4 linked regions of the Tamandua tetradactyla genome follow. The protein of the gene in region 1 binds, or shares a complex with, the protein of each later gene. Links are inferred from orthologs where the notes say so. Each region holds a gene or a part of one and is shown on either strand. Other genes may lie near its edges.

Evidence for each region.
Region 2: ARMC7 (region 1) and RBMX2 share a complex: the UniProt entries of both Homo sapiens proteins name them as parts of the minor spliceosome. The link is inferred for Tamandua tetradactyla from reciprocal best matches to the Homo sapiens genes ARMC7 and RBMX2.
Region 3: ARMC7 (region 1) and SNIP1 share a complex: the UniProt entries of both Homo sapiens proteins name them as parts of the minor spliceosome. The link is inferred for Tamandua tetradactyla from reciprocal best matches to the Homo sapiens genes ARMC7 and SNIP1.
Region 4: ARMC7 (region 1) and CRIPT share a complex: the UniProt entries of both Homo sapiens proteins name them as parts of the minor spliceosome. The link is inferred for Tamandua tetradactyla from reciprocal best matches to the Homo sapiens genes ARMC7 and CRIPT.

The regions. Positions count from the first base shown.
Region 1 is NC_135332.1:15,527,470-15,535,215, forward strand, and holds the start of ARMC7 (armadillo repeat-containing protein 7), read left to right. Parts: upstream 1-4,712; 5' UTR 4,713-5,014; coding exon 5,015-5,105; intron 5,106-5,195; coding exon 5,196-5,339; intron 5,340-7,746. Other genes in the region: SLC16A5 (monocarboxylate transporter 6), read left to right, coding at 1-196, 1,411-1,661. UniProt on the Homo sapiens protein: As a component of the minor spliceosome, involved in the splicing of U12-type introns in pre-mRNAs.
Region 2 is NC_135353.1:33,109,027-33,117,011, reverse strand, and holds the start of RBMX2 (RNA-binding motif protein, X-linked 2), read left to right. Parts: upstream 1-4,740; 5' UTR 4,741-4,813; coding exon 4,814-4,818; intron 4,819-5,024; coding exon 5,025-5,140; intron 5,141-6,507; coding exon 6,508-6,559; intron 6,560-7,985. UniProt on the Homo sapiens protein: Involved in pre-mRNA splicing as component of the activated spliceosome. As a component of the minor spliceosome, involved in the splicing of U12-type introns in pre-mRNAs.
Region 3 is NC_135328.1:187,752,186-187,760,223, forward strand, and holds the start of SNIP1 (smad nuclear-interacting protein 1), read left to right. Parts: upstream 1-5,008; 5' UTR 5,009-5,266; intron 5,267-6,018; exon of another isoform or gene 6,019-6,095; 5' UTR 6,096-6,108; coding exon 6,109-6,338; intron 6,339-7,334; coding exon 7,335-7,437; intron 7,438-8,038. Other genes in the region: DNALI1 (axonemal dynein light intermediate polypeptide 1), read right to left, coding at 4,220-4,365, 4,826-4,906. UniProt on the Homo sapiens protein: Required for pre-mRNA splicing as component of the spliceosome. As a component of the minor spliceosome, involved in the splicing of U12-type introns in pre-mRNAs. Down-regulates NF-kappa-B signaling by competing with RELA for CREBBP/EP300 binding.
Region 4 is NC_135343.1:18,610,475-18,618,156, forward strand, and holds the start of CRIPT (cysteine-rich PDZ-binding protein), read left to right. Parts: upstream 1-4,616; 5' UTR 4,617-4,737; coding exon 4,738-4,753; intron 4,754-7,682. Other genes in the region: PIGF (GPI ethanolamine phosphate transferase, stabilizing subunit), read right to left, coding at 12-128, 1,152-1,243, 2,457-2,700, 4,395-4,444. UniProt on the Homo sapiens protein: As a component of the minor spliceosome, involved in the splicing of U12-type introns in pre-mRNAs. Involved in the cytoskeletal anchoring of DLG4 in excitatory synapses.

The sequences.
Region 1 (7,746 bases):
CTGCTGTGCACGGTGTCGGCCGACTTCTGGCTGCTGGTGGGCTACTGCCTGGTATACAGCGTGTCCATGAGCTGCATCGGCGCCCTCATCTTCCAGGTCCTCATGGACACTGTCCCCATGGACCGGTTCTCCAGTGCCCTGGGCCTCTTCACCATCCTGGAGAGCATTTCCATCCTCATCTCCCCGCCGATAGCCGGTGAGGCCCTGGGAAGGGAGGGTAGCCCTGATGGTGGAGGTGGGACAAGGGATGGGGACAGGGCACAGCCTGGACAGACTGGGGGCTCCTCTGGCACCTGCAGGGGCAGGAGCTTGGGGTCTGTCTTTCCCAGCACCCCAAGGGACCACACTGCAGCCTCTGCCCCAGTCAGTGTTTGGGGTGTGGGTGCCAGACCTACCAGGGTCCTTCATCTTCCTCTATGTGCCTCAGTTTCCTTATCAGGAAAGTGGGGGGTAATAATAGCATCTTAAACTCATCAGCTTGTTGTAAGGATTAGGAGTTACAAAGAGCTCAGCAGAGACCCTGGCACATAGTAAGTGGCACTGTGTAGGTGCTTGCTACGATTGACATCCTAATATTTGGAGGTTATAGTCACATATTCACATAGGTTCTCCTACTTCCTGCCTGTGGGGACCTAGGCAAGTTATTTTCCTTCTCTGAGCCACAATGTGGTCTGCACAATGTTGAAAAGAATGCCTGTCACCTATCAGGAATTCACCTGTGCCAGTCCCTAGGTGGGTGTGGCTGAATACCAAGACCCGGCCCCTCCACCCTTGGGCTTCCCTTCTGGAGGAGGGGTCAGGAATTAAAGAACCTGTCTGTAATTACGATGGTGATTTGTACAGAACATGGCGATAGGGATCCACATGAGAGGACCTAGGTGTGGGCTGCAGCTGAGAGCTTCATTCAGAGTAAATGAGAAAAGGTTTGTAAAGCGCTTGGTGCCAGGATGCAGGCAACAGACAGCATGTCGGGGCGGTTAATACAGTAAGACCCAGCAGGTCGACTCCAGTCCAGTGGGAGAGCCTTCCCCCAAGTTCTCCAAGCAAAGCACACAGGAGGAAGTCTGGGCAGAACCTGGGAGGTGGCTGTGCAAACATCCCAGTCTCCACTAGTCCAGTCTTCTTGGTTCCCAGCCACCAAGGGTGAGAAGTCACCCCTTAAGTTGCCCTCTGGCCAAAATTTTTTGAGAATTCTCCCTGCCCCAGGCCAAAGTAGATAAAGCATTTCCTCCCCTCCTTTCATCCAACAATGATCTTTATCAAGTACCTTCCAGGTGCCAGCTATGCCTCCTGGCACTGTGGACAAAGAGAAACAAAAATAAAGTCCCTGTTTGTGGTGAGCATAGTATGGTGGGGAGGGGAGTATCCAGGAGCCCTGGGCAGTGGCCTGACTTGCTCTCTGTCCCCCAGGATTCCTGCTGGATGCCACCAACAACAACTTCAGCTATGTTTTTTACATGTCGAGCTTCATCCTCATCTCGGCTGCCCTCTTCATGGGCGGCAGCTTCTGTGCCCTGCAGAGGAAGGAGAGGCAGGGCAGGCAGGCTGAGAAGGAAGGAGCCATCATGGAGGCTGCCCCGGAGCAGGAACTTTTCCTGGAGGGCACAGATGGTCCTGGCAAGCGGCCGTGCCCCGAGATCATGTATGTGACCACTGTCTGAGCCCTGAGGTTAGTGAGTGACCACTGTCTCAGCCCAGGAATGGCACGTCAGTTGCTTCACCAGAGGCTGTGGCCAAGGGCTGCCCCAGGGAGCTTGGAACAGGTTTCACAAATGAGACCTGGCCAGGAGCTGGGACCTTGGATGCTGCCCTCCGAAGGCTCAGAGGTATTTCCAACCAGCAGAATCCAGGAGTGGATTCTTCTGACTTTTTCCCTTGGGTTCCACCAACCGGGGGCCCAGGAAGGCTTGGGTCTGACATAGCTGACTCTGCTCAGCTGGCCACCCATGACTACTCCCACAACTCAGCACAATGAACTTTCCAGTCCAAACTGCATGCCTTCAGCGTGATCACACTTTGTCTTCGAGACAATTCCAAAGAGCTCATCCCTCTTTCAGGGCCCTCCTGCCGTCCTCCTTCCCAAGTGACCCAGCCCCTGCCCTTGGCAGCCACAGCTGGCCCAGGCTGCCCCCACCACAGGTTGCCTCACACTGACTGGAAGTCTGGGATGAAGGGACCCATGAGAGACTGTGATGTGGCCTGCGGGCTGGAGGGCCAGGCTGAGGAGTTGGCCTGGACACAGGATTTGACAGATTAAACGTTGGGTGGTGTCCCCATCCTGGTGTCTGTGCAGAGATGTGGAGGGGAGCCCCTGGTGAAGCCTAAGGGGACTTCCTCCTCATTTAGCAGGGTCTGCTCTAGGGTCTCCTTCCCTCCTTTGCACCCCCACCCTGTAGTCTTGGCATAGAACATCAGGCCTGGTATGGGAGGAAGTCAGGCGGTCAGTTGTCCAGGGGAGAAGAAGACTGGCTAACTAATGTCCAGGGACCTTTGTGAAAATAGGGCTGCTTTTGTGAAGGAAGCCCTTGCACTTCCCTCTCCTGCCCTCCCAAGCCCCCTTCACCCTGCTATGTCAAGGCGTCAGCTGAGGGTAAGGAGTTGGCTGGGCCGGCTGCCAGTCCACTCCTGGGCCCTGGAGACCAGAGCTTCCCTCTGCACTTGGCCGGTGCCCTTCCCTGAGGTCACCCCAAGGCCCTCCAGGGACTGGCTGTCATCAGCTCAGACTTGTCCCAGCAGGATACCCACCTAGGGGGGGGGATGAAAAACAGGGTCTGTTTGAATTACATACAAAAACACTCCCTGCAGCGGATTATGAATCACTGGAGATTATGAATCCAGTGAACTCTTAAGAGAACAGGCCTAGAGGACATTCCCTCCTCTCCACTTGGCAGGGGCTTTGCAAGGCTTCTCAAAACCTTGTTGATTCAGGCTCAGCCAGGCTCGGACAAGAAAACCTTATCAGGCCAAGGAGAATTGATTTCATTTTCATAACCTGACCCCAGCCTTCCTCCCCACTGATCCAGCGGGTGTGAATAAGCATCCTTGGGGATGTCCTCCCGACTCCCCCAGGAGCCTGTCACGAGTGCCCCCTATTAGTCAGTCGTGGTAGTGCAGGGGCAAGGCAAGAGTACTGGGCTGGGACGGAGACCAGAGTTGATGTTGAACTCAGAAACAACTTGCTGTAACTTTAGGCAAATTGTTCCCCATCTCTGGGCCTTTAAAAAGGAGCTTGGCCTGGATGAGCATGCTCTGAAGGAGTAGAAAAGAGGGCAGTTGGGGGCTGGTAGGTAGATTAGTACTTTGATATGTTGTGTCTCCCCATATAGGCCCATTTCCTGAAAACAAATTTATTTTAAGGAAAAAAAAATTGAATATTCAACATAGAGTACTTTGACCCTGACCTCATTTCCCCCCAGGCAAAAGTGGCAATAAACCCTGGGCAGAATCCCTTCAACAAAAAATTTTATTGAGACCTTAAAGACCTGGTCGCTGCCTTCAGAACAAAACAAAGGACTAAGAATTCTTTCCCAAGGAGAAGGATCCCTGAGGGTTTGGGAGGGAATAAAGCCAAACACTTGAGGGATGGTGGGGTGGCCCATCTAATTCTAGAACCCAAATTTAGCTGATTAGCCTGGGACTAGTCTAGAGGACCTGGGGCAACTCCTGCCTCCAGGCCTTTGCTGTTCAATCCAGGCAGAGAGCTACATGTCTCCCAGCTTTGGACTGTGATGCATGTCCCTGTGCCACTTCAGCTCCTCACAGAAGCCAAAGACCTGGGGAGGGGGCTGGGGCCACCACCCTCTCCAACAGTTTGGGTACCCTGAGCTCCGACTACTGTTAAAACCGCTCCAGAGGGTGTGTGCAGAACAGGGCTGACCACAGGGACCTAGTAGGTCTGCAGAAAGTAGGGGCCTGCTCCCAAGGGAGCTGCTGCTGGCTGGACTGTTGTCACTGTCCAGCCTCTGGATGTCACACGGTCCTCACCCTCAAGAAGCTCACGGCCTAAGCCCACTTCCCCCCCACATTTTCAAGCACAATGGGAGTGGTGGTGTTACCTCTTTCCCTGATGCTCCAGTCCCGGGCACCCACGAGGTCCGTTACATACCTCCTTTCTGGGAGGTCCTGAGAAGGAACTGGGCCGGAGGACTTCGGCACCCAGGACCCCACAACCCAGAAAGCCGCCAGTGGGACACATGGGTAAACCCAGGTTCCTTCTAGGGCTCACCGATGCTGTCCCAGGCGCCCCCGCCTGCCTTGCTAACAATGAGCCATGGGATAGTCTCCAACCCGCGTGATTGATGGCCAGAGGTGGGGAGGAGGGGGCGTCGGACTCGCCCAACTTTTTGGAAAAGCCGCCCCAATTGTAAAGTCATAGGACCGACACGGGGAACGGGGAGCTGACGCAAGAGCTACGCAGGAGCGTCCCTGGGCCGAGGAGGCCAAGTTGCGACCCCCGCCAAGTATGTGGAGGTCTGGAGGTGCCTCTGCCTCGACGAGCCCCCACAGCGGTGCCTCTGATTCCCCAGAGGCGCTCCTTAACGCCACCCCCGACCCTCCCACCAACCTGAGGCCCATTCTCTGCTCGCGGTCGGACTGGTGCCACAAAGTACACCCCGAGTAACGCGAGGGAAGCCACGCCCCTTTCCCCGCCCCTTCCGCCCTGCGGGGTGGGAACTAGCACAACTTCCGCCGGAGGCCGGAACCCCGCGGAGAGCAGAGCGTTGGAGTCGGGGATGCGGATGCTGGTCCCTCCCCTTCCGCTTTAAGTGGCAGGGACACCCGGGTCTCCAGTTCCCCAATTTTGACTTAGCGTCCCGAGACCCCATCCCACCCCCACATCCCAGTCTAAGCCTCAAGTTACAGCACAACCTGAACCCAGGAAAAGAACCCGTTTCCCGTCCCGGCCCCGGCTTCTCCGACGGGTGGTCGGTCCGGTGAGGTCCACGTCTGGCTGCCCGGCTTCGCCTCCCACGCCCTCCCCGCCCGGGCCCCGGGGCCCTCCGCCGCGGCGACGATGGCCCAGAAGCCGAAGGTAGACCCTCATGTCGGGCGGCTGGGATACCTGCAGGCGTTGGTCACGGAATTCCAGGAGACGGAGAGCCAGGGTGAGAGCCGCGAGTGGGAGCCAGGGGCCGGGGTGGAGGTGCGGCCGCGGCCGCCGGGGACCTGCCTCCAGCGCCGCTTTCCCGTTGCAGACGCCAAGGAGCAAGTCCTGGCCAACCTCGCCAACTTCGCCTATGACCCCAACAACTACGGGTATCTGCGGCAGCTGCAGGTCCTGGATTTGTTCCTTGATTCGCTGTCAGAGGAGAATGAGACCCTGGTGGAGTTTGCCATCGGTAAGGATGGGGTCGCCTTCTCCCCCCACCCCCACGAGCCCAACCTTCCCCTTGCACTGCCTGGGAGGCTGGAGTGAGATCAGTGAGAAGTGAGTTCTTCGGAAGGGAGTCTTAAGCAGCCCCTCGGCTGTAAAGGCAGATCTTTGCGATGTCTGTTATGCCTCCTCGGTTGTCCAAGGTCACAGGTAGTTTGAGACAAGCCTGTAACTTCACACCCAGGACCCTCTCTCTCCTGCTTAGAGGCGAGATCACAAATGAGGGAATGGATTGAAGCTATTTTGAGATTACTCTGTCTTTAATGTTTTAATTTCAAAAAACATAAGGATGACTTGGGCTCTCTAGCTTATAGCTCCTGAAGTTGTTATGGTCTTACGACCTATTGAATGTATGTTTATTGGGTCTGTCCTGACAGCAAGGTGCTGTTCTAAGAGGAGATGTCAAACAAGTTGGGAAAATGTGTTTGTCCTCAGGGGGCTTACATTCCAGTAAAGAGAGAATTGGTGAACAAGCAAACAAAAAAGGTGATACTGTGAACCGAATTGCCAGGGGTAAGATAAATCAATAACAGTTGGGGGCTACTTCCATTTTGGCCATCAGAGGAAGGGCGTATAGGCTGAGGCATGGCATGGACAAAGACCTGAAAGCAGGAAGGAGCCAGAGGAAGGTTAGTGTGGCAGGGCTGTGGCAAGTAAAGGGGAGAGTGGTATAAAAGGAGGTCAGAGGGTTTGGCAGTGCCAGAGCTTACAGGGCCTTGGGTCAAGGCTATGTGGAAAGAGCTTGGAATTTATTCTGAGAGCAAACAAAAATTATTTTTTCATTATACATCTTTAAAAAAAAAACATATCTCTATTTAAAAATAACAGTCCTCTAAGTGACAGGAGTTTTATTTACATAGGCAAAAGAAACTTTTAATAATAATTCCTAATATTTACCCGGTATGCACATCTCTTCAGTAGTCCCCAAAGGGACATTTTGTTGTTGTCGTTGGTTAGGATAAGCCAGGATCCAGTCCAAGATCCTTGAGTTTCCTCTGGTTGTTAAATGGTCCCTTAAATCTCTCTTTCTCTGTTTTTAATCAACATTTTAAGTTTAGAACAGTTTTAGAAAAATTGCAAACATAATACAGAGTTCCCATATACCTGGGTTCCCCTGTTTAGCGTCTGACATTACTGTGATACATTTGTTGCAGTCAGTGAACCAACAGTGATATATTATTAAATTAAAATTTGTACTTTATGCAAATTTCCTTTCTGTTCCTGGATCCCATCCAGAATCCCACATTACATTTATGTTTTTTTTTTTATTAAATTTTTTCTCTTTTACAGAATCTTTATTACGAATGGTCAGTGTTAAAAGTGTGAAATGTATAGAAGCCATTGCTTGTGAAGTCATTTGCGTGCTCTAGTTGTAGAGATGCAACATCAAGTTCATTGCTACATATGAGTACAGATTTTCTTCCTGGGCTATGTGATTTGGAGTTTGCTCTCTTTATCAGAGTCATAAAAGTTAAATCATACTCTGTCTTTCCTTTTATGTCTGGCTTATTTCACTCAGCATTATATCCTCTAGGTTCATCCATGTTGTCAGTGCTTCAGGACGTCATTTCATCTTACCGCTGCATATAGTATTCCATCGCGTATATATACCACATTTTGTTTATCTGCTCTTCAGCTAATGGACATTTGGATTGTTCCATCTTTTGGCGGTTATGAATAGTGGGTGCAAATGTCTGTTCATATCACTGTTCTCAGCTCTTCTGGGTATATACCCAGTATTGGTGTTGCCAGGTCATAGGGCACTTGATATTTAGTTTTATAAAAACTGCCAGACTGTCTACCACAGCTGCTGAACGATTGGTTATACATTTCTACCAGCAGTGCCTAAGTGTTCTGGTTTTTCTACATTCTCCTGTTTGTTTAATAGCAGCCATTCTTATAAGTATGAAATAATATCTCAGTATAGTTTTGATTTGCATTTGCATTATAGCTAATGAAGATGATATGCTTTTTGACCATTTGTTTTTGCCCTTTGGAAAAATGTCTATTCATATCTTTTGGCCATTTTATAACTGGATTGATTGTTCTTTAGTTGTTGAGTTGTATAATTTCTTTATGTACACAGGATAGCAAACCTTTATCCGATATATGGTTGCCAAATATTTTCTCCTGTTGAGTTGGCTGCCTCTTCATCTTTTTGACAAACTCGGCTGCCTCTCCATCTTTTGACAAACTCCTTTAAGGCACAGAAGCTTTTGATTTTAAGAAGTTCTTATTTACCTATTTTTTCTTTCGTAGCTTGTGCTTTAAGTGTAAAGTTCAAGAAGTTACCTCTTATTACTAGGTCTTGAAGATGTTTCCCTATATTTTCTTCTAGGAGTTCTATGGTACTGGCTCTTACACTTAGGTCT
Region 2 (7,985 bases), on another chromosome or scaffold:
TTGGCTCCCGCCTGGGGTGCCAGCAGGAAGAAAGCGAAAATGGCTCCAGCCCTTTGTTCTGGGAGCTGGATTTTAAAGGGACAGTGATGCCAGGAGGGGAGGGTTCTGTTGTTTCCTGATTGGATGGGGGCTTGTAACATGTTTATATCTGGATCCTTGGACCTGCCAAGGATGCTGAGGAGTGGGGCTGAGGGGGGCTCTGCATCAAGAGTTCCTTTTGCTTTTAGAATTTTCTTTCTGAAAACCAACAGTGTCTAACTTGAGAAATGAAAGGCACTCCTTGAGTAGATCTATAGATGTGAAGCCTGGCGTGGGAGCAGAGAGAGAAAGGACTGGAGAATAGGAGCTGGGGGGAGTATAAGAGTATTTAAAGAGCTCGGAGGGGCCAAGGACTGGGCTGGACCTGCACAGGGATTGCAGCCACTCCTACAGCTACTTGCTGCTTGTTGCTGTTACCAGGTCCTGCTGTAGTGTGGTGCTGGAGCGCAGGAAGGCCCAGGAGTGCCTGAGTTTGGAGAAAGCAGAACTGTTGGATTTGGGGGATGAAAGGGTGGACCCAGCCAGCTTGGAGGTACAGACTGACCATGGCCTGTGCTGCCAGATCTGCTATCAGTACCAGATGCTCATCAACTCCATCCAAAAAAAAAAAAAATGCCAGTGACAAACTAACAGAGGTCCTTGAAGAGGCCAACACTCTGTTTAATGGAGTATCCTGTGCAAGAGAAGCAGTTCCAGATGCTTCTTCTTTTGGCTTCAGATTTGGGAAAAGAGAAAGCAACGTAGCTGCGCTCTGATCTCAATTCCTTTGATATGTTAAGATATGCTGAACTCCATTGGCACAAATGGGTGTAAATCTGCTAGAAGCTGAAGAACTCATCCGTGATGAAGATAGTTCTGATTTTGAACTCATAGTCTATGACTCCTAGAAAATATCAGGCAAAACAGCAGAAAACACCTTTAATAAAACCTGTATATTCCACTTTCTGTTGGGTTCAAAACAAGGAGAGCTACCTGTACCAAAGGCAAACATCTATTATCCAAAGAAAGTTTGCATGATAGAAGAGAAAGAGAGCATTGCCAGCCCAGTTAAAAAGAATGGAAAAATCTCATCAAGAAGCAACAGAAAAAGAAGTGGAAAGAATCTTGAGATTGTTGCAAACCTATTTTCGAGAAGATCCTGATACACCAATCTCATCAAGAAGCATAGAATAAAGAAGTGGAAAGAATCTTGGGATTTTTGCAAACCTATTTTTGAGAAGATCCTGATACAACTATGGCATTCTTTGACTTTGTGGTTGATCCACATTCATTTCCTGTACAGCAGAAAACATCTTTCATATTGCTTTCATTCTAAGGGATGGTTTTGCAAGATAAGACTTAACCAAGACTGACTGCCCCAATAATAGAGCCTGTTAATATTAATGAAGAAAGTGAGGGAATTGACCAAAACACCCAGATTAGGAATCAAGGAATTATAGCTTTGATTTACCAGGACTGGGATGAGACTGTGAAGATCTTTGAGATTTCAGAGACTGCAACTGCCTCTGTTCAGAGATGGCAGAGACTAAGAGTTTGATGCCAGCTGAAGAACTCAAATGGATGGAAAACAGCATGTATTGCATATATTGTATGAGAAAAACATTTTTTAAACTTTTTTTATTGTATAATACGACATATATACAAAGCAAAAAAAGAAAAAAAGCAATAGTTTTCAAAGCACTTTTCAACAGGTAGTTAGAGGACAGATCCAAGAGTTTGTCATGGGCTATCATGCCATCCTCTCAGATTTTTCTTTTTAGCTGCTCCAGAATATAGGAGGCTAGAAGGAATACATATTTTTTTTTATCATCACAATTGACTTGTTTTTTGTAAAAAATAACTTATATACAAAAAAGCAATAAATTTCAAAGCACAACACAACAATTAGATGTAGAACACATTTCAGAGTTTGGTATGGGTTACAATTCCACAATTTTAGGTTTTTATTTTTTGCTGCTCTAAGATATTGGAGACTAAAGGAAATATCAATAGAATGATTCAGCGATCAAATTTGTTTGTTAAACCCTACCTTCTCCACTATCACCTTTGATCTTTCTATCCCACTCTTTAGGGGTATTTGGGCTTTGCCTATTCTAACTTTTTCATGTTGGAAGGGGCTGTCAATAATATGGGGTAGGGAGATGGAACTAGCTGTTGTTCTGGAGAGGCTGGGCCCTCTAGGTTTCAGGACTTATCTTGTCCAGGGACCAATCTGGAGGTTGTAGGGTTCTGGAAAGTTACCCTAGTGCATGCAACCTTTGTAGAATCTTATATATTGCCCTAGGTGTTCTTTAGGATTGGCTGGGAATGGTTTTGGTTGGGAAGTTATGATAGGTAGCAAGGTCTAAATAATAGGTAACAATGTCTAACTTCCAGAGTAGCCTCTTAACTTTATTTGAACTCTCTCAGACACTGATACTTTATTAGTGTATAAGTAAACATTTTTTAAGATATTATTTTTAGTAAAATGCAGATTTTGATAGCTAAAAATAAAGAGCTAGGAGGTATGTGATAATGACTTCGAGTAAGATGATAACTGGAAATGATGCATTTTATAGATACTGCAGTGGTACAATTTTTAGGACTTGGTGAATAATTGGATGGTTTTCTCGGGGTGAGAAAAAGTGAATGCTGAAACGTGACACCCATGGTTTTGATAAAAATGATGTTAGTGTTGCCCAAACTATGGAAGTCAGGAGGAAAAGCTGCTTCTGAGTGTGGTGTGATTTGGGGAAGTGGAGAGATAACTTTGGCTAGCCAAATTGTTTAGTCCTTCCTTGCATTTGTTTAGTCCTGCCTTTTGCTTTCTTAGCATTGCCTGCCAAACCTAGATCTGAGCTCTGCATACAATAGGTGTTACATGAATGTTATTGGTGGAGATCACCAATCGCAACCTTGGATGGCAAACCCTGGTCCTCCTTGTGTCCTCCTCTGGACCTCTGCCCCCTTTTATCTCTGACTTATGGAAATCTCCAGGCATTATTTTACAATATTTTCTACTAACTGGAAGCATATCCATGGAGAATCTAACACGGCTTTTTTACCTATTTCAGGCTCTCCTCGGGTGATCAACCCTCCCAATGTGCTCTGGATTTTCAAATTTTACCACTGAAAGTCCTCACTCCTGGGCAAACCAGGATGGTTATCAGCTCTCCCAGCTTCAGAACACACTGCTGAATCCACCACCTCAAGAGCAACAGTCTTCTTATGTTCTCCTCAATCTTAATTGTTCTTCCCTTTGGTTGGTCTCAACCCTACTCTTGGGTTCCAGCTTCTTTTTAAATGTGGATGAGTGAGCCCCAGGTGTACCCCCAGCATTCTCAATTCATAGTTACTTTAAGAAGCCAACCAGATAATGCTGCATGCTAGCTTACCACTTTGCAGCGGCTACTTCAACACTACAACTAAGCAACCTGAGATTTCCAGGAGCAGATAAAACCCACATGCAATCTGTCATTGTTTAGTTTTCATTGCCAAGGTAATCCTACAAAGTTAATGAATAGCTGAGTGGAGATAGACACAGAATGAATGAGTAGACACTATCATAAGTAGGCAGCCTCTGTTCTGTTGCTTGGCAGTAAATGTGTACATGGTGAACCACTTGAGGGTAGAGTTCTCAAAATCATCATCATCGATAAAATGTTTTTATAAAGGGCCTAATTTCTGTGGCTCAGAGCTAGGCTTACACAGAAAACTACATAGCTCTGGATCTTCACTTTTAAAACATCATGGTTCAAGACCAGTCACTGATTTGGAGACATGCAAGATGGATTCAAACCTTCATGGTTTATATACCACCATCCCTTCTACTGGGTCCTAGATATTTCTGGAATGACCTCTATTAGGCAAATATATCTTATCACCTCAATTACATTATTAGCTCCTTGGGGGCAATAGGGCTAGCCTCATAACTCCTAGCTACAGGTTCTAGTTGTACAGGACAGATAAAGGTGATAGGCAAGGACTGATTAAGTCAACCTGACCGGATGGGCAGAGTCGGAGTCTCTTTCAAGCTAATTCCTTTGAACCTCGGTTTCTTCATCTATAAAATGGAGATGGTAATTGTATCTACTTCATGGGGTTGTTGTGAGAATTGACAGACAATACATGTTAATTGCTTAGCACATAACCTGGCATTGGTTATCACATTATCTGCTCAAATGTTAGCTATTAATTTGGCTTAAGTAGAAGAGGCCATGGAAAAGGATGAGCGTAGCAGCTCTCACAAATTTGGGATATTCAATTTAGCACAGTCGGTTGCTTATGTATTGGGATTTGAGGGACGACAAAAGATTTACTCACTCACATATATCCTACATTTTTGTGCCATAACTTCTAAACATGATGAGTATGTGGGTGTGACTCCTGGGAGTGAGGACCCGAGCGGGACCTCGGAAGGCGAACCTGGAGTGGGACAAAAGTCGCCACATCAGGCATCTTCTTCATTCAGTAAACATTTAAGACCAACCCAACCAGTGCGAGGTATGATCCAGGAGCTGGGGACCCTGTAATAGACCAGACTCACACCCTTGTCTCATTTCACTGAGGGAAGGAGGAGGGACTAGAAAAAACTTTCTTTTCTCTTACTAGAAGAGACAGGGACACCGAGCGAAGGAAACCTTTTCCACGCTTGTGCGCAGGCGCTGCACGTCGGCGCGCCCTCTTCCGCCGCACGCTCCGCCGACTCCAATGGGCTGCGGCGCCGGGACTGCGCATGCGCCTTGCAGCTTCGCCCGGACGCTAACGCCCAGGTTGTAAGCTCCGAGCCGCGGAGATGAAGTAAGGCGGTACCTTCCTTCTGAGGAAGCGGGATCGGACTTCCGTGGGTGGCCTTCGAGGGCTGGGGCGGTCGAGCGTCTGCGGTTCCAAGGAGAGGGAGAGGCGTGGTAACTGGAGAGTCTAGTGCCCTAGTTTTGCCTTCCCTTAGGCTGGGCCGCACTTACTTGTCTCCTTTTCCGCACTCCCCCCCCCCGCCCCCCCCGCAGCGCCTTAACCAAGGTGAAGTTAATCAACGAACTGAATGAGCGGGAGGTCCAGCTTGGGGTGGCGGATAACGTGTCCTGGCACTCCGAGTACAAGGACAGCGCATGGATCTTCCTAGGTACGGGCCACATCCTTCTCCCCTGTGTTCCTCAGCTTCTGGCCGGTTTCCTAACGCCTTCGCTCTGCTCCTCTCCACATCCATCACCCGCTTTTATCCATCTGCTATCCACCCTTAAACCCGTTTTCCATACCTTTTTTTCCTCGATACTCACGGGAGTTACTATTCCTGTTATCTGTTCTCTGTGCTAAAAACCTTGTACGGGACTTCTTGAGATCCCCCCACCCCCCCATATACTGTTGAAACTGAGGCGCAAAGAAGTTAACCGAAAAATTTTAAACAACATAGCTAGTAAATCGAAACTATGGAATTCTGAAACTCAAAAGTCTTAAACTTAGCTACTATCCTATATTACTACTAACCCCACTCCTTAGATTTTATTCTACTCATCTGATTAGCTGCTGCCTTCTGTCCATGGCCGTATTGCCATCCCTTATATTCACTTGTGTTGTAACCGATAATTCTGTACTTTGTTCAGAGAGATTATTTATTGCACCAGGGATTGTGCTAAGCACTCTATGTGCATTGTTTTATTTAATTCTTATAACAAGTTCATGAGGTAAGTACTAATATCCCCATTTCACAGATAAAGAAAGCAACATTTGAAGTGAAATTTGTTTCCTATGAAATGGTTGACGGTTGTTTTTCTAATCCTTAGTCTGTGTGGGTGGGATTAATATTAACATTGACTGGATTATAGATTTTAGCTATAAATTTGTGGGTAAAGAGCAGATGAATCCAAGATATGTTTGTGGAAGCAGAGTTTTGTGCTGTAAACTATCTGCTTTGTCTACGATTTTGCGTGTGAGGAGGACTGAGTGATCAGTTTAGCTTGGTTAATGATGACCCTGGTCTTTGCACACAGAGCTAATCACTCTATTTTCTGTACTACTTCTGCACCTTAAGTATACCTCTGTCATTGTATCAGACCGTGAGTTCTTCGAAGGCAGAGCCTGTGGCTCACTCTTCTTTACACCCTTTTTTTTTTTATTATTTTTAACTTTTTTATTGTATAGTATAACACATATACAAAGCAAAGAAATAAAAAAGCAATAGTTTTCAAAGCACTCTTCAACAAGTAGTTACAGGACAGATCCCAGAGTTTGTCATGGACTACCATATGATCCTCTCATATTTTTCCTTCTAGCTGCTCCAGAATACAGGAGGCTAGAGGGCTTAAATATTTTTTTTTTATCATCACAATTGACTTTTTTTTCCTTCTTTTTTTTTGTAAAAAATAACATGTATATAAAAAAGCTATAAATTTCAAAGCACTTCTTTACACCCTTAATGTCTGACCTAGTGCAGGGTCTGTAGTACACATTTGAGAAATGTCTGTTGAACTGAAATGTGGTTTCCTCTTCTAGGAGGACTTCCTTATGAACTGACTGAAGGAGACATCATCTGTGTGTTCTCACAGTAAGTTCCCTTAAATTTTTTGCTTCCTGGGTGGACAGAGTAGTTTGCTTCCATAATACATTTTATGGCATCACAAAAGCCATTTATTTGAATTTTAGTGGGGAGCACTAGGGCTTTTGCTCTAGTCTAGAGCAGTCCCAGGACATTTGATTTTAGGATTCTCCCCTGTAGATGATGTTAGTGGTTGAATAATTTGGGGGGCTATCTTGGGGAATTACAGTAAATTTCTATCGCTTTTTCACTGAGGTGTGTTCAGCCTGGGCCTACACTGGAATAGACTGGAACTGCCAGGAAGATACCATGTTGGACCCATCTCCTTGGCATCCTGTAAATTGGGGATAATCCATGATCACAGGGCCCTTCCGGGCCCACACTCGTGTGGCATTGTAGGATTAGGAGCAAAGCATGGAGGAATTGGGGGAAAATGTGAAAGGTTTAGATGGTGGTTTGCTTTCTTTGTTTCTAGACGAGTGTAGGGTTAAGGAACAAAGCTGATCTCTTTACCCACAGGCTGATGAGAGAAAGAATGAATAGGAGAACCTTATATTCTTCATTTTGCTATGAGATGGTAGCAGCAGCAACTGTGGGAGAGGGTGTGTGCAGCTCACACTAGTAGTGTCAGTGAGTATGAAAGGGTTGGGCAGCTCACACACAAACCCAGAGCTAAAGAGAGTGGTTAGACAGTCCACAGGGCCAGAGAGCCTTTGCAGCTCACAGAAGCAGAGACCCACGGCCTGTGGATTGTGTAGCCCTCTGGGGCTAAGAGCCTTTGCAGAGAGGTTGGACGACATGACGGAGGACCTTGGCAAAAGGGGCTGAGCAAGCAAACACAGGCAGCATAACCTGGTGGAGGAATTGCCGTATCAGGACAGTTGGGCTGTCCCTTAGGCAGAGGTCCATGGCAGAGCAGTTGGGCAACTTATGGGGCAGCAGGCTTTGGCCAGATCATTGGGTGGCAATATAGGGCAGAAGGCCATGGGAAAGGATTGGGCAGTGCACATGAGATAAAGACCATGCCAGGGGGCCTGGGCAGCCTACATAGGCAGAGAGCCCTGGCTAGGACTGAGGCTGCTTTCTTCAGCTTTGGGGCTTCGGGAAGTTCATGGCAGGTGCAGCCTATAATTTCTACCTCTTTGTGTGGTAGTACATCAGACTTTCATCTTGAATTGAGTGGTGATCAGCCAGTGTGTATGCTTATTCTCATTCTCTATTCTGGCTATGTACTATGTACTTTGCTTTCTATGAAGATTGCCTTTGCTACTGATACTAACAGTGGCTTTCAAATTAATATTTTCTGATAATGAAGGTAACGTATAGTCTTATAGAACATTTGGCAAAAAGAAAAAGTATAAAGTAGAAAAGAGTGTACTTGACTACACAAGGAAAATCTCAGCATTTTGGTGTATTTCTTTATCTTTTTTAAAAA
Region 3 (8,038 bases), on another chromosome or scaffold:
TATTGCTAGATCTCAACAGAATTTCCCCCACTGGCTTGTGAGGTGGGAGGCACTGGATACCATAAACCTTGTGCAAGCCAGGAGGAGGCAAATGTGTGTATGGTGGGGGGGTGGGGAGACCCAGAGCCTGGGCTCCCCGCTCCATACAGAGAGTAAGCTGCTGCATGTAGCCACCTATGTAATTGGGACAGAAGTTAAAAGTCAACCAACCTCCTCAGGGAGGAAAGAACGTACAGATGGTATTGTAGACCACTTATCCCGTAAAACATTAAAACTCCTCTCCCTGACAGATATGTTGATAACAAATCTCCAGATCCCTGTGTCATGTGAAACTCAATTCACGTACTCTGTGAAATGCCCTTGTCCTAAACCCTTATAAGCTGCTCCTTGCATTTCCACCCTTGCAGTGTGCTACTTTCATTTTTACCATATGGCCACCACTGGAGACCCGCTCCTGTTTGCAAGTCCTAATGAAACTCATGTCCGACTCTGTACCTAGTGTGTTTGGAGCTTGGGGCTGCATTGACTCAAGACCTTCAAGAGTTGAGTTGGAACAGGAGGCGTAGGTGAGTACTTAGGAGGTGTGTGCCTGCACAGGCCCCCCATAATGAACCTGGCAAGGCCAGGTACTGGAATCGCAAGGAAGCAGCCTGAGGGGAGAGGTCATTGGGGAGAGGACTTCTATACCATTGATGGGAGGAAAGCAACTGAAACATTTGCTCCCTTCCTTTGACCTCCACCTGTGAAGAGGTCATGGTCTTTTTTACTGTCTCCCTTCTCATCACAGCCTTCAAAACTGTATTACATTACATTACATTACATTACATTACATACAAACTGCATTACATTAAAAATAGTTGAGAAGGCATAGCTTTTGAAGATCTGGTTCAGTTGGTTCAGATGGCTTGACTACCCCACCCTGTTAGTTCCCACTTACGCTGGCTTGATTCTGGGGGTGCCCTTGGCTGCCTGGAGATCAGTCTCATTGGGAAGCTAAGACTGGTCAGTAGTGGCCTGGACACCTTGCTGACATCTGATGAGCCAGAGAAGCTCTCACGAGCATGGGCCAACTGAGCTTTCCAAATTTAGGTGGCTCTTGCATCAATATTGGCCAAAGCCTTGTCACCTTCCCCCTGAACTCAACTGGCATTCTTGTCTCCAGCCGCTCAACACCACACAACAGTGACTTTTCTAAAGCACAAAGTTGATGGTGACTCTGCCTTGATAAAAATCTCTTCAGGGGTTCCCTATTGCCACAGCAGCAGCTCTCACACTTATGACTGCACTCAACGTAAAAATGGATGTTAACATCATGATTCCATATACATACAAGTGCACGTCCACAGAGATGCACACACACACATAACGGATACAGGTTTCATGAAATGAAATTTACCCTGATGACATGAGATGTAATCTGTTATTTTCTGTTCTATTCTATCCTATCGTTTCCTGTTCCAGTTTTTAAATGCTGGGACTAGCCTCTACCTTAATTTCATTGAATAAATGGGTTGTGGTCCAGTTTGAGAAACTCTGGACTACAGACACCCTTCACAATCCAAGTCCATGCTTGTCTACTCAGTCTCCATGTGGTCACGCCCCTCATTCTCCCTATTTGCCTTGCATGTGCTGGTTCCCCTACCTGGAGCGCTCTCCCCATCTCATTTGCCTGATAAACTCCTTTCCCTACTTCGAAAATCAGCTCCTAGGAAAGATCCCTCAGCAAGCGGAGTAGATGAACTCTCTGTGTCATAACAGACTAATGGATGGTTCCATTAGACTCCTGTCAAGCTCTCCCATAGGACGCTGTGATGGATTCAATCATGTCCCCACAAAGTCATGTTCAAGTTGCAACTCCTAGTCCTGTTGGCATGGACTCGTTTGCAAACATGATCTTCAAAGATCCTATTTAGATGTGGTCAAATTGAACCAGAGTGGGCCTAAATCTAGTATGACTGTAGTCCTTATAAAAAGGAAATTTGGACACACAAGTACAAGCCATAGGAGAAGACAGAAAGAGACAGATCGGCATGTAATAGAGGCAGAGAATGACTGCTGGCTAGTGAGCCAGCGCCAGAATGCTATAGACTTTGGAGAAGGCAAGTCCTGATAATACCTTAATTTTGGCCTTCTAGTCTCTCCACTGTGAGCCAGTAGTGTCCTGTTGTTTAAGCCAAACAGTTTGCGGTATTTTGTTATAGGAGCAATGCCAACTAAAACAGACCTTTACTTCTTTGTGTGTCCTTTTAAACTCTAAGCTCCTTGACTGTAGGTTTTTGTTTAAATTAGAATTTCATCTCTGTATCCTCAGATACAGACATTATGTCTGGCTTATGGTAAATAATCAGTAACTAGTGTGCTGAACTGAGAGAGGAAATAGGACATTCAAATTCCCAAACTAGAACACTTCACCTGCAATGCCAGCAGCCCACTGTGGGGATCCTAAATCTGTATGTCTCAAAAGGGTTCATGTAGGCTTTCAGATATGCCTCACGGGAGATAGTCTATCATGGTGGAAAGGTATATGGATTTTGAATTCAAAGATATCAGGAGTCCAGCTCTGCTTCTTTCGTCTATGGACATAATATTGGTGTTCACTGATATCCAGTTCTCCTCTTTTTCCAGGCCCAAAGTCTACTTCCTCCTTGAGACAGGGCTATGTGATTTGATTTGGCAGCCCAATGTGAAACAGAAGTGCCACATGTTCCTTTTGAGTGGAAGCATTTAATTGCTGGGGCTCAACTTTATACCTTCCTCTCTCAATTCTTAGCGATAATGGAAAAGCTCTGAGAGCATGTGGACACCTGACCAGGCAAGTACCTTGTAAACCTAACTTCCGTAAGTGTCAAACTTTTCCTGAAACTTCTAAAACAATCCAGAGATGCTTTATCTATATGCGATTTGCTGAGGTTCCATCTCTTTCAAGCCAAAGATAAGTATTTTTGGAGGAAACACCTTCAAGGAAATGATTCTTACGATTTGACATGACTTGCCTTCTGGTGTGATGAGCACCCCGTTTGTTCTTTCCTTCAACAAATATTTTGGAATGCACAGGGGAGAGAGCAAAGCCTCTGATCTTGAGGAGTTTATATGCGAGTAGTGGGAAAAGGAGGCACAGACCATGAACCAATAGTTATGTCTGGTGGTGATAAATGTTGCAGAAGAATTAGGTGGAGTAAAGGGATCATGTTGGAGAGTGGGTGCTCTCTTATAAAATGCTCAAGGAAACATTCCTTGAGGAAATGACATCTGAGCAAGACCAGGGTGAAAAAATGGGATGTTGGGAGAAGAACATCTTCAGTAGTAGGAACAGCAACTGCCAAGGCCTTGATGTGGGAGAGAGACTGTGGTGTTTTAGAAATAGCAAGTGGAGGCTATGTGGCTTTGGCACAGCAAATAAGGAGAGTAACAGCAGATAAGACAATGGACATGGTGTAGACCAGACAGATCATGCCAGGCCTTTCAGGCCATGGTAAGGGTTTCAGATTGTAGCAGGCACGAGATGGGAGGCCATTAGAAACTTCTGGGAAAAGACTGGCATGACCTGATTTATGGTTTAGGGGCTGTGTTGGGAACAGATTGTAGGGACAAAGAGTAAAAGTGGTTTCTAACTTTGAGGCCGCAGCAGAAGTGCCAATGCTAAAGAATGACTTGGAACGAGATGCTGGAGGCAGGGGTGGTGAAAAGGGATCAGATTTGGGACATAATTTGAAGGTAGAGCCAACAGGGTTTGATGAAGGATCAGACATGTGATATGAGAGACTAAAGGCAATGAAAGATGGCCTGAGCACCTAGTAAAAGACAGCTACCACTTACTGAGAAGATGAAGACAGTATGAGCAGGTTGGGGGAAGAAGAAAACGTGACTTAGTTTGGATATTTTGAGTTCGAGATGCATATTAGACATCTTTGGAAGTAGAATATATGGGTCTGGAGTTTAAAGAAGCTGAAAGGGCTGGAAATAAGCGTTTGGGAGTCATTGGCATATGGATAGTATTTAAAGCCATGAGATTGGATGAGAGCATTCAGGAAATGAGAGTAGATAGAGAAGCCATCTCCTCCCCATCCTCCCAGGAATCAGGTATCTGCAAACTCTAGCAATTCTAGGATACTGGGGGGAAACTCAAGCTAGGAATAGAGGCAGGGGTCTTTTCCATATTCCCAAGTCCTGGGATGCAAAAGCCTGGGCTTTCTCCCAGGTACTGCTCCTGCTTTTTTACCTTGGCGGCAGAATGGCATTCAAGATTTCTTCTGCCTGCTTTGTAGGGTCTGGGACAGAGGAAGTTGAGGGAAGTTTGGTCTTTGGTGGCTGTGGGACTGGACCCGAGGGTCCAGGCTGCTGGGGGCTGACTTTCAGTGGCCGAGCCTGAAAAGATAGACAGGCTCGGGTAAGAGGCACTCAGCTCCACACATACTGGCCCCCTGGATGGCCTCCTGTCTCCTGCACATCCCTCCCCTATTCCTGGCTCACGTTTACCTTCTGTCTTCTCAGCAGAAATTGACTCAAAGTCAAAGGAGGCCATCAAGAGCCTCTGGTCCCACTCCAACCATTTTTGGCAAGGGTGCTCGGGGCTTTGCTTTCACATCTCGAGCAATGGAGAAATCACTACCTGATTTATTATTGAACGCGGCTACCAAAAAAAAAAGATTAAGTCTGATCCTAAATCTGCTTTCCGGAGGCACATCCAATATCTGGCCTTCTTGTGCTGCTTTTCCACCCTCCTTCCCCTGCAGCCTCTCTCCCTCGGTTTTCCAGACCCTCAACGAGATGTGTCTTCCTCCATCGGAACGTCCCGGCTCCCCGGACCCCCGAGAGCCGTCCTTACTTTGGGGCTCCGTTTCTCCGTATTCCGGCTCACTAGCACCGGGGTATCGTACTTGAGCAGTGAGTCTGCGGGAGGAATCATGGCGACACAAGGGGTAGTAACCCAGCAGCCACCCCTCTAGTCTAGGCCTGTTTGCCGTAACCATGGAAACCCCCTTTCCAAGCCTCATTGCCTGGGCGGGGCTTCGGTGTGGGGCGGGGCCAGAGGCGAGCGAATCTCATTCTCTTGCCCTGTGTTTGCGGAAAGTTCTCCTTCAGCTAAGCTTTCCCGACTTCTTGCCCGCCAGCCCGCCCGCTTGCCCCTGGGCTTTTGGAAGCAGGATAAGCTTGAGTTCGAGTCTCTAAACTCCGTTAAACTGCGTTTGAATGAGGGATCAGGCCACCTGTAAAATGGGAGTTATCTCCCAGTGAAGGATTGATTGAGGAAGGTTCCCGTTGGAAGGTATGTGGAGTTCCCAAACTTCTAATTTTTTAAAAAAGTATTTTTTTTATCAAATGGAGAAATTACAACATAACAGAGTTCAGAAAATAGGAAAAAAGCATTATTGATTTTCCAAAATCCACCATCTATGATTGCATTTCCTCCTTTCCTTTTCTTCATGTGTTTCTGAACGTAAATGAAATCAGAATTTGGACCCAATTTTGTATTGTACTTTTTCTGTTTAAGTCAGCGCTTTTTCCATTCGCCATAGTTTGTAAAGAGCATTGCCTTGGCGACATAACATTCCATCAATGGGCTAGGCAATTACCTACTGCTAGGCATTTAAGTTGTTTCAGTGTTTTGTAATTACTAATGACGTGACAAGCCCTTGAGAGTATGTAGCTTTTTCCAAGTTGCTTTTTTCCCCTGATAATGTGGTTTAATTGCAGTTTTTCCAAAAGTATCTCCTTTCCCAGTTAAAAAAATATATACAGATATGTTAAAGCCTGCCCCTGCCCCCTCAATGGGCGGTGAGCACAGTTCTCAGGGAGGGCAGCCACGCCTCTCCCGGGGCCTCCCAGGACAGTCCCTGTGTGGGAGCAGGGGACGCGTCCTCGCTGACCTACAGCCCGGATCCCGTTCCCTTTCCAAGCTGCTTTTGAAACTTGAAATTCCCGCCTCCGGAACTAGTGCACTACGGCCCCGCCCACTACGGGGTCGTGGTCACGTGTTTGGAGTCTCCGCCGCTAGGGTTTCTGGGAGAGCGCTCACCCCGGAAGGGGAAAGCCAGGGGCCAAATCCGTCATTTCCTTCATCAAGCCGAGCTCCAGCGATCTCTTCTTTCCCTCAGCGTAGGTCGCGGAATGAAGGAGGTAAAGAATGAGCGGGAGCGGGGCAGCCGGCGAAGGCACCGGGATGGAGATGTGGTGGTGGTGGCGGCGGCAGCGGTGGTGGTGAAGCAGGAGCGCCTCAGCCCGGAAGCAGCGCCTCCAGCTCACCGCCGACCCGAGTCGTCTGGCGGAAGCCCGTCCCTGCCTGCCGGCGAGCCGAGTCGCCCGGGTCACCACGGAAACCGAGTCCGAGGAGGCAGCCGGTAAGTGGAGAGAGGCCCGAGATGGATCTTGGGTTGGTTTCGTTGAGAAGAGAGGGCAGGGCTGGCATCAGAAATAACGAATGCTGGGCTCGGCAGCTTGGACATAATCCTGGAGGCGAAGAAAGTGACTCAGTCAGCCTTGAGTTAAACGTTTACGCCTGCATCTGCCACCTGATTTATAGCTGGGCCTTTAGCGCCTAATGCGCAGGATTCCATCTCTTCATCTTGATGTTTCCAGCACCCAGCAGAGTATGGTCCAGAAGATAGCATTAATAGTTTCTAAACTTGAAAGATCTATTAAATTGAGAGGTTTTCCCTGTCTGCCCGTCAAGCCAGGGCGGGTGTTCTTCCAATTCTTTGCGCCAAAAGGTTCCCACATTGAGGGCCCAGGAGATCTACCTGATGGAAACTCTGAAGAAAAAAAAAAAGATTTGTGAGACTCAATGATTTATTCACTCATTCAACATATATTTTTATTGAGCACCTAGACTTATACCAAGTACGAGGCCTCAAGGATGAATAAGACAGTCTTTATCTTTGATGGAATAGATGTTCTCTATCCTTGGCATAAACAAAAAGCAAATAAATGAAATAGTTTTAATTAGTAACAAATATTAAGGATAAGTTCAAATAGTAATGTGATAGTGAGGAATTGGAGGGCAGAAGGAGGCCTCTCTGAACGGGGGGCCTGAATGATGAGAATGATCGAGCCTTGTTAAGATAACAGGCAGGGGAAACAACAGTGCAAAGAACCAGAAGTGGAATTTAATGTTATATTTTCTAAGGGAAAAGTCCTGGTAGGCAATTATATAGGTGGGTCTGGAACTCAAGGAAGACCTTAGGGATAGGAAAGTGAGACTCCTGACTCCTTTTCTGTGATTAGCAGAGACCTTCACAGGTGTGTTTCTGTTAGTAGATAAGCCTGATACTTGAAGTTGATTTACATGGTGGAAGGGACGTTGAGATAAAATCTTGTATGTACCATGCTCTGAAAAGGTCCCCAGCCAAAAAGAAGAGCAAGTCCTCAGGGAGAAGAGGCAAGTCTCCTCGGAATAAGAGAAGCCGAAGTCCTCACCATTCCACAGTCAAAGTGAAGCAGGTAAGTTGAAGTGCGTGCTTTGACTTTAGGTCCAAAGGTATAGCTTTTTCCTATCATTGATAAAGAAGGTGTTTTCATCTGTACCAGAAAAGGGCTTTGCTTTTTTTTAAAATTAAGTTTATTTTGAGATATTTGTTGATTCGTATGAAGTTGTAAGAAATAAAACGGGGAATTATTCCTTTACCTGGTTTCCCCCGTAGTATATCTTGCAGAAATATAGTATAGTATCACAATCAGAATATTGACATTGATAGAGTCATAAAGCAGCATTTCCATCACCACAGAATCTCTTTTATATATTTTTATACAAATATAAATGCACGCACACACATACCTCTTATAAACACACACACTTTCCTCCCACCCTTACCCCTTCTTAACCCTTGGCAACTGCTATCGCTGACATCTACTGATTTTTCCTCCATTTCTGTAATTTTATCATTTCAAGAATGTTACATAAATGGAATCACACAGTATGTAACCTTTTGGGGTTAGCTGTTGCCACTCAGAAGAATTTTTGGAGATCTATTCATCTAGCAATAGTTCATTCCTTTTTCTTGCTAATATTCCATGGTGTGGATTTACCACAGTTTAACCATTC
Region 4 (7,682 bases), on another chromosome or scaffold:
TTAAAACTTACCCATTCCTACTGAAAACTCTTAGCCATGCTTTGATGTTTGGTCCTAACAAACATAGACAAGGTACAGTAGTAAAAGTAGACAATAAAACTGCAAATAAAAAAGTTTCCAACACCAACCTAGAAAAGAAAACAAAATTTATTTTTATTATTGAAATGCAAAGCCATAGAAAGCAAAAGCTAACAAATATCTGGCTTTAATGACAGATTTCAGACATGTTAAATAGTCTTACTGAGACTGGCCATTTATTGCAAGAAACTTCATCTCTATATAATTAAGTTTCTTCCTCCACAGTCTATGGAATTTACTACATGACAAGTAATTCAATTTCACTTTACATTAGAATCACCCAGAGAGCTGGACACACTAACGAATGGGGAGCCCCACCTCTAGAGTTTCTGTGTGGAACCTGAAAATTTGCAGTTCTACAAAATGTTTTTGCTGCTGGTTCAAGAACAGTAGTTTGAGAACCACTGCTCTAGACATTCACTTTACTCTAAAATGGATTAGACAGGAATCACCACGCCCCATTACAGAGGTTTTGTTGTTTCTTTTCCAGGAAATAGCCTGCTAGTGAGTATATACATAATTGTGTAGAACTATACATATATAAGTATATACACACAAACACACGCGTGTGTATCACATTGATCATTTCATCATGATCATTAATCACAAACTGTAATGAACATTACGTAAGAAATATTCATGAATTTGGTTTACACTAATTTAAAATTAGGAATCTATTGACTTTCCTTAAGAAAACTAATCCTTTTCTGGCACTTGAGTATTATATTTAGCAAGAAGTGATATGCTTAATTATAACTAACTTTTATACATCATTATATTAGGTCTCCTTAGAGGCTCTAAGGGCCACACTTCAATTGTTATAATTACATCACTACCACCTTCCAATCTGTAACTGGGTAACTGAAGAATTGAATGAAATAAGCTATTATTGATTTTTTAAAGAAGGACAACACTGCTAAAGAAGGACAATAATGCTGGACTTGATCCACTAATAAAACACACTATGGTTTTTCTCTATTGCCAACAGAGTTAGCACATTGTTTAACATTAAAATAAAAGTTTTAAAACGGTTTTAAAATATAATTTCCCTACAGTAAAGCGTTCCAACTTACTCTATTAGTGGTGCTCCATATAGAACAAAAATTACATGAAAGGAGAAACATGACATTAGAATGTAGAAACAACATTTCAAAAACCTGGATACCTAAAAAAAGAAATGAATAATTTCAAGACTCAACAGAACACCAAAAATAGAAATTCTAGTATTTTATCTATAAATTATTCTCATAATATATGGAACATTTGAATGTTCTTTGGATTGGGGTTTACTGAAGAGTTAGATTACATATTCTGTGTATAGTTACATATGCAGCATTCAACACAGCATTGTAAAAAAGCCAGAAAGTGAGTTCTTCCCCCTATTTATCCCCCACCCAACACTAGAGCCAAAAAAGGGTTCTCTTTCTGTGGTTTGTGTGCATTTATAAAATATTCATTAGTAACAGAATGCCGGGATATAAGAAAACCAAAATACAGTCATTATAAAGAGTAGCTTAGAAAATAATACACAAAATATTTACAGAATAAAAAGAGCTACAACTTTTTTTTATTAAAAAAAGAATTTCTAGGGAAACTGAATCAAAAAAGCAAAATACTAACACTAATCATATTCACATTACTATATAACCCATAGTCAAAAAGACCTGCATGTTTGCAAATTAACCTGGGGAAATACACATTAAGCTTTTTTCAACATAGGGCAGTAAAGGTGTTTTAAGATATTTAACAGAGAGCTTAAACATACTATTGAATAACGTTAACTGAGGACTTTATTAATTTAAAATAACAGTCAACATGTTACACAGGAATGAATTAACCAAGATTCCAGAAAATAGATTATCTGAAAACTGTACTGCTTAGTCAAGGACGGTTGTTTAAAACAACGGAGCTACCATTGAAGCTCCGTTGAGTGTACATATATATATATATATATATATATATATATATATATATATATATATATGCTTTTAAGAATTTTAAGTCCATTTATTAACAATGTATCCCTTTGATAAGATTATGCTTCAGGAGGGTTTTAATGCCCTGGAAGCTTATTTTTACAATTCCTGAAAAAGCCCGTTAGGTATCTTTTGGAAATGGAAAAATATATTAAAATAAACTGTAATGAAATAAATTTTAAAGAAACAATTGCCACATGTATTTATCTTCACTGGGACATAAAACAATGATTCTTACTTATTGCTTTTAGCAGTATATAAGTTACTCATTTGAAAAAAAGAACATCATATTCCTTTTACTCACTGTAAATAAACCAATGAGAATTGGACTAATACTTTATTCTTTCTTTAACAGAAATACCAGCCGCATCCAAAAATTAGCTATCAAGAAACAAGCCTTACCTTGTGTGTTAATGAACTTCTTTTGGAAGATGCATTTGGTTTTACTGTTAAGTATAATACTAGATTGATGGCAGTTACAAAAGCAGAACAGATGCACAACCATGTCAAGTGTGTTTCCAATACTGAGAAGTTCTCCAAGAAAAATGATGGAATGAAGATGCTTAAGATAACTGAAAATATGCACAGAAGATGGACATACAAAAGTCTCTTGATATCAGTTTCTTTCATGGTGTTTCTTGGGTGCCTATCTAATGAAAAAAAATTAAATTAATGAAAGAGCATGTGCAATAATGCATTTTTCCATTGTTCCACCCCCTACAAACAAGCCATGAACTAAAGTAAATTTTCTGTGGACAATAAAGGATTTGTTTCAGAATACAGAAAGGTTTGTAAATACACTAGATTTAACATTATATTTTACCTTAGATTTTCTTGATATGGTACCCACCCTTCTACCCAAAGAGTTCTCAAGAGCCTATAAAGGATGAATTTACTAATTTCTTAAATATCTGTGATTGATGTTTGCAAATGGCCATGTACTGGGGCCAATTAAGCAATTCATTTCAGTTCTTTTGCCAAAATCTGAGATCAAAACTGCATGGATTAAATTATCTGCCAGTATTAGAAATAAAACCTATACATACTAGAAACTCCATGAAGCACTCTGGCCAAGTTGCTGATTTTTTTTTTGTTTGTTTAACCACTGTGGACCTTTGTCCAACATGATGGTACTTCATTTCTTCTAGCAAGTGCCAAAAGACACCAAGTACACATTAGAATACTTAAACGGTGGCCAGTGCAATCAAGAGAGTTCAAAGACTGTTATGCTAAACTAATAGATCCCAGCTCCAGAAATACCAAAATGACAACGTTTCTTTTATGGATATTTAAAGAATGATGTTATAGGTTCTAGATTCCAATCACAAGTTGAAGGTATATGGAAGGAAAAAAATTTACTCAAGACACACCTATATACACACAGACAGAACTGTGAGAGAGCAAAAGGGTGACCTGAGGACTTATCTAAGAGCTTTACACAGGCTCTCATATAGTCCTCATAACAATGCTCAAAGGCAAATATACTGTTGATAAGGAAACAGGCCAACTTATGTTAAGAGACACCCAAAGTCACAAGCTCCGTGCTTAAGTCATTCCAAAACCTAGCTTCTCTTTCTCTCTATCACACCAAGAGCTGGGAAGAGAACGGACGTCAACGGGAATCAAGGGAAGGGTCTTTCGCAGGTTCTACCCTAAGCTAATGAACGGAGAAGGAACATATTCTCTCAACAGTACCCCTTCGAACACCATCATTTTGGGCCATCCTCAGCATCCCAACGTCAGAAGATTTGGATCTAATCAGCGAGCAGTACACAAACTAAAATGTTTGCTGAGTGAATGAACGAGAGTGGAAAAAGTGTTTTCCTAGATTTTAAACGAGGGGGTGGGTCCTCCTGAGAAACTAAGGACCCAGCGTGCCCGTAAGAACATCTGACAAGCGCCCCACCCGGAGGCCACCGCCCCGGCCCAGATGGACAGGCATCATTACAGCGCGAAAAGGCCCCTTGGGTCTGCTCCCAGACGAGCCTACATGAAACTCGCCGGACCTTCACCTGCAGCCCCACCCCAAACCAGCTCGCTCGGGACCTGCCCAAGCCTCAGGTGGCGGGAGGGTGAGCCGGGAGAAAAGCACTGAGAGGAATAATCAAGAAGCACAGGTGACGGAGACAAGGGAAAACTGATGTAGTGAGATAGAAAGTCGGATCCGAAAGATCCGTCCATTAGGGATGTCCCCGGGTCACGCCCGAGGGGTGGCGCTGGAGCGGAGGGTGGGCGCGGGAGGGCCGGGGTGCACAGAAGCTCGCGCCCATTTCGGCAGTTGGCTCGGGCTGTTTGCACCCCGGGAGGCAAGCGTGTCGGAAAGCGTCCGGCTGGGCTTACCTAACTCTCCAGCCCGCGGAAGGCAAGGAGAGGATACTGCCTCCCACCATCAGGTTAGACTCTCGGTCCTGACCCTCGGCGCAGGCTCAGAGTTGCGTGGGCGGCGACCCAAGGTTGCACAGCCAATCGCAAAAGTGCAGAGGCGGGCAAATAAATTAGCCCCGCCCCCTCGGTCGCCTTTATTCCTCCCGCTTTATTTCCCAGGTATAGCATAGGAGGGAGCGTAGGGTTTAGTGGCCGGAAGTGGTTTGACGTAACCCGGAAAGGAATCCTTCCCCGGCTGTAGTGTTTATATTTTCAAGTTGCTACAGTTCCTTCCGCTAAGAGGAGCGTCGGCAAGAGAATGGTGTGCGAGAAATGTGAGTTAAAGGGACCCGTATACGGAAGATGGAGGCCAGGAGAACCTAACTGAACTTCCTTTAGACCTGTGCCCTTTCTTTGTATTTCCTTCTACCACAGGTTTCTGATTCGAGCTTATTTCTTCCTTCCCTGTCCCTTGACCATTCTTACCTCTCCTTCAGCGACCCATATCGTCCTATTTATTTTCCCTCCAGAATGGTCTCAGTTCTGCTCTTCCCTGTCCATTTCCGTTGCCTCCCCCCAGCTGTGGGTCTCACCGCAAACCCCAGCTTCTTGACTGGCTTTCTCGCCTCACAGACTATCAGAGTTGGAATGGATCTTATAAATCGCTCCTAGAACAACTAAATTTAGCCAATAAAAACACAAGACGCCCAGTTAAATTTGAATTTCGTATAAGTAATAATGTAAGTATTATTGGCCACGTTTGGTGCCCCGTACTACTGTAAATGTTTTGTCCCATGCGAAATTTAGGACGTGCTTTATTAAACCCTTATTCGTTGTTTATCTGAAATTCAAATTTAACTGAACATCCTATATTTTATCTAGAAGCCCCGACTCAGCATCCCGTCTAATGTCTTAAACACTCCTTGCATGAATACTTACGGAATTGAGACTGGGTCTTGGGACCCTCCTCAAAACAGTATATATAGACGTCTTTCACTTTTAGGAAAATCTATCCTGTTATAATTGCCACCCAGTGATTCTAATCCAAATGAGCTTGCCAGAAAACATCTCATGGCTTTTTGATTTCACGGTTCTTTTTATTTTTTAAAACCGCTGCCATATTCTCAAGTCTTCCTTTTCTCAGGCTAAACATATCTGTCTCTTTATCTTTCTTCCTGTGACATGGTTGCAAGTCTCTTATCATTCTGGTTACTGTCTAGTAAACATAATCCATTTTCTTTGTAAAGCTTTGGAGACAGACATCCATGGGTTTAAATCCCAGTTCTTAATGTTAGGTAAAAGAATAGGAATGGATGAGTTATTTAATATTTCTTGACTCCAGTTAACTCTTTTAGAAAAATGAGAATAATACATAATTCATAAAGTTTTGTGAGAATTAAATGAGATAATGTAGTAGTGCTTGGTATAAAAATGCCTGGGTGTGGACATAAAATTGGTAATTTCCATTATGCACCACCACCCTTCCCTCCTTTCACCCCAATGTGTGGGACTCAGAATTGAACTCTACTCTTTTCTGCGTGGGGCTGAGTAGAACTAATACATTTCTTTTCTCGATACTGTACTTTATACCAATATTGTCTCACAGTAAACTTAAAAAAGGAGCAACAACAACCAATTTGTCGAGATATATATCACATATTATAAAATTCACCCAATTAAGATATGTGATTATGTTTTTTGTGTTTTCAGAGTCGTACACGGTCCGTCACCACAATCCGTTACCACAAAAAGCATGTTAAGTCTTCCCCATCTTGCATTTAAGCAGTTTTTTGGTTTTGTTTGTTTTTTGAGTGAACGTGTTGGAAACGTTTTTAGATTATGTACCTGCCCTACAGTCTTTCATCTTGTGTTGTGAAGTTCTTACATGTGTAGGTTAGTCCTTCCATGTAATTTGTGTTAATTTTGTACATTTTAACTTTTTAGAGAATAAGAATTCTACCTGGTTTCACTTGTTGCATGTAAATGCCTCTTACGCTGTAAGTGCTTTGTCCCAGGGAAATTGAGGCTATTGGATAAATTATGAGAGTTAATTTCTCAAGGTTCATTATAATTTGGGCTCTAAGATCTGCTGTGGTCTTAAAATAAAATACCTGTTTGGTCTGCAATAAGATGTGTGTCATAAAGGTCATTCTCTCTTTAGTATTATTTTTTACTTCTCTGCTCTTCTGTAAGCCTGGCTCTTCATTGTTACTTTGGTCCAATACCTTTCAACCTCCTGTCATCTTGTTCCTCCAATAAAATATACCCTCTTTCTTATATTATTTTGTATCTCCTGTCTATCAGTTTATTCCACTTACCTTATAAATAAGCTCAGATCTCTCTTGTACATAAAGCCACACTCTCAAGCAACCTTTACTGTAATTTTTAAAAAATACTTTCTTTGTTGCCTCCAAATTTTCACAATTGCTTCTTACCACCTTACCCTACAAACTGACTTTCACTTTAGCACACTACTGGAAGAACTTTTCGAAGTTTGCTGGTGATCTCTTAGTCATCAAGTTCAAAGATCTTCTTTCCATCCTCCTCTATTCCTCTATAGCTTTGATATGTTGCCAGGCTTTTTGAATTTACTTCTTCCTAAGCTTCTTTACCATTATGCTTGCCATGTTTTCATATTTCTCCTTTCTCCCTTAAAGTAGTTGTTTCCCCATATCTGACTCTGACCTTTTCTTCACTCGTTTTTTACTTTTTTCTTTGAGAGTTTTTTCATTCATGTAACATACTTATGCAGATGAATATCTAATCTACATCTCCAGCCTTGATTTCTCTCCTACATAAGCACCAGTTGAGCATTTTTTCCCAGACAATACTGAGAAGATTGACCTGGTTGTTATATGGTAGTTTAATACTTGCAGGATTGAATTCATCATCATAGTTTACAAATTTGTACCTTTTCTCCACCATTTAATGACTCAATCCTACCAGTCACCCATTCATGAAGCCTTAATTGACTCATATCCATTCTCCCATCCCTCTGTAAACCTATAGTCAAATGTGTTGCCATGTTCTGTTTATTTTACTTCCATTCTATACTTCAGATTTTCCCTAGCCTCCCATTTCCCACTCCAGTACCTTAGTGAGAATCCAGTGTTTTTTTTTCTTTCTATTTTTTGGCATGTGCAGGCTCCAGAAACGAACCCAGGTCTCCCACAAGATCCTGATCATTTGACTTAAACTAATATGATCCAATATAGAAACATCAGCTCTCTTCCCCCTCAAACTGCTCTCCCTACCTCTAGGCTC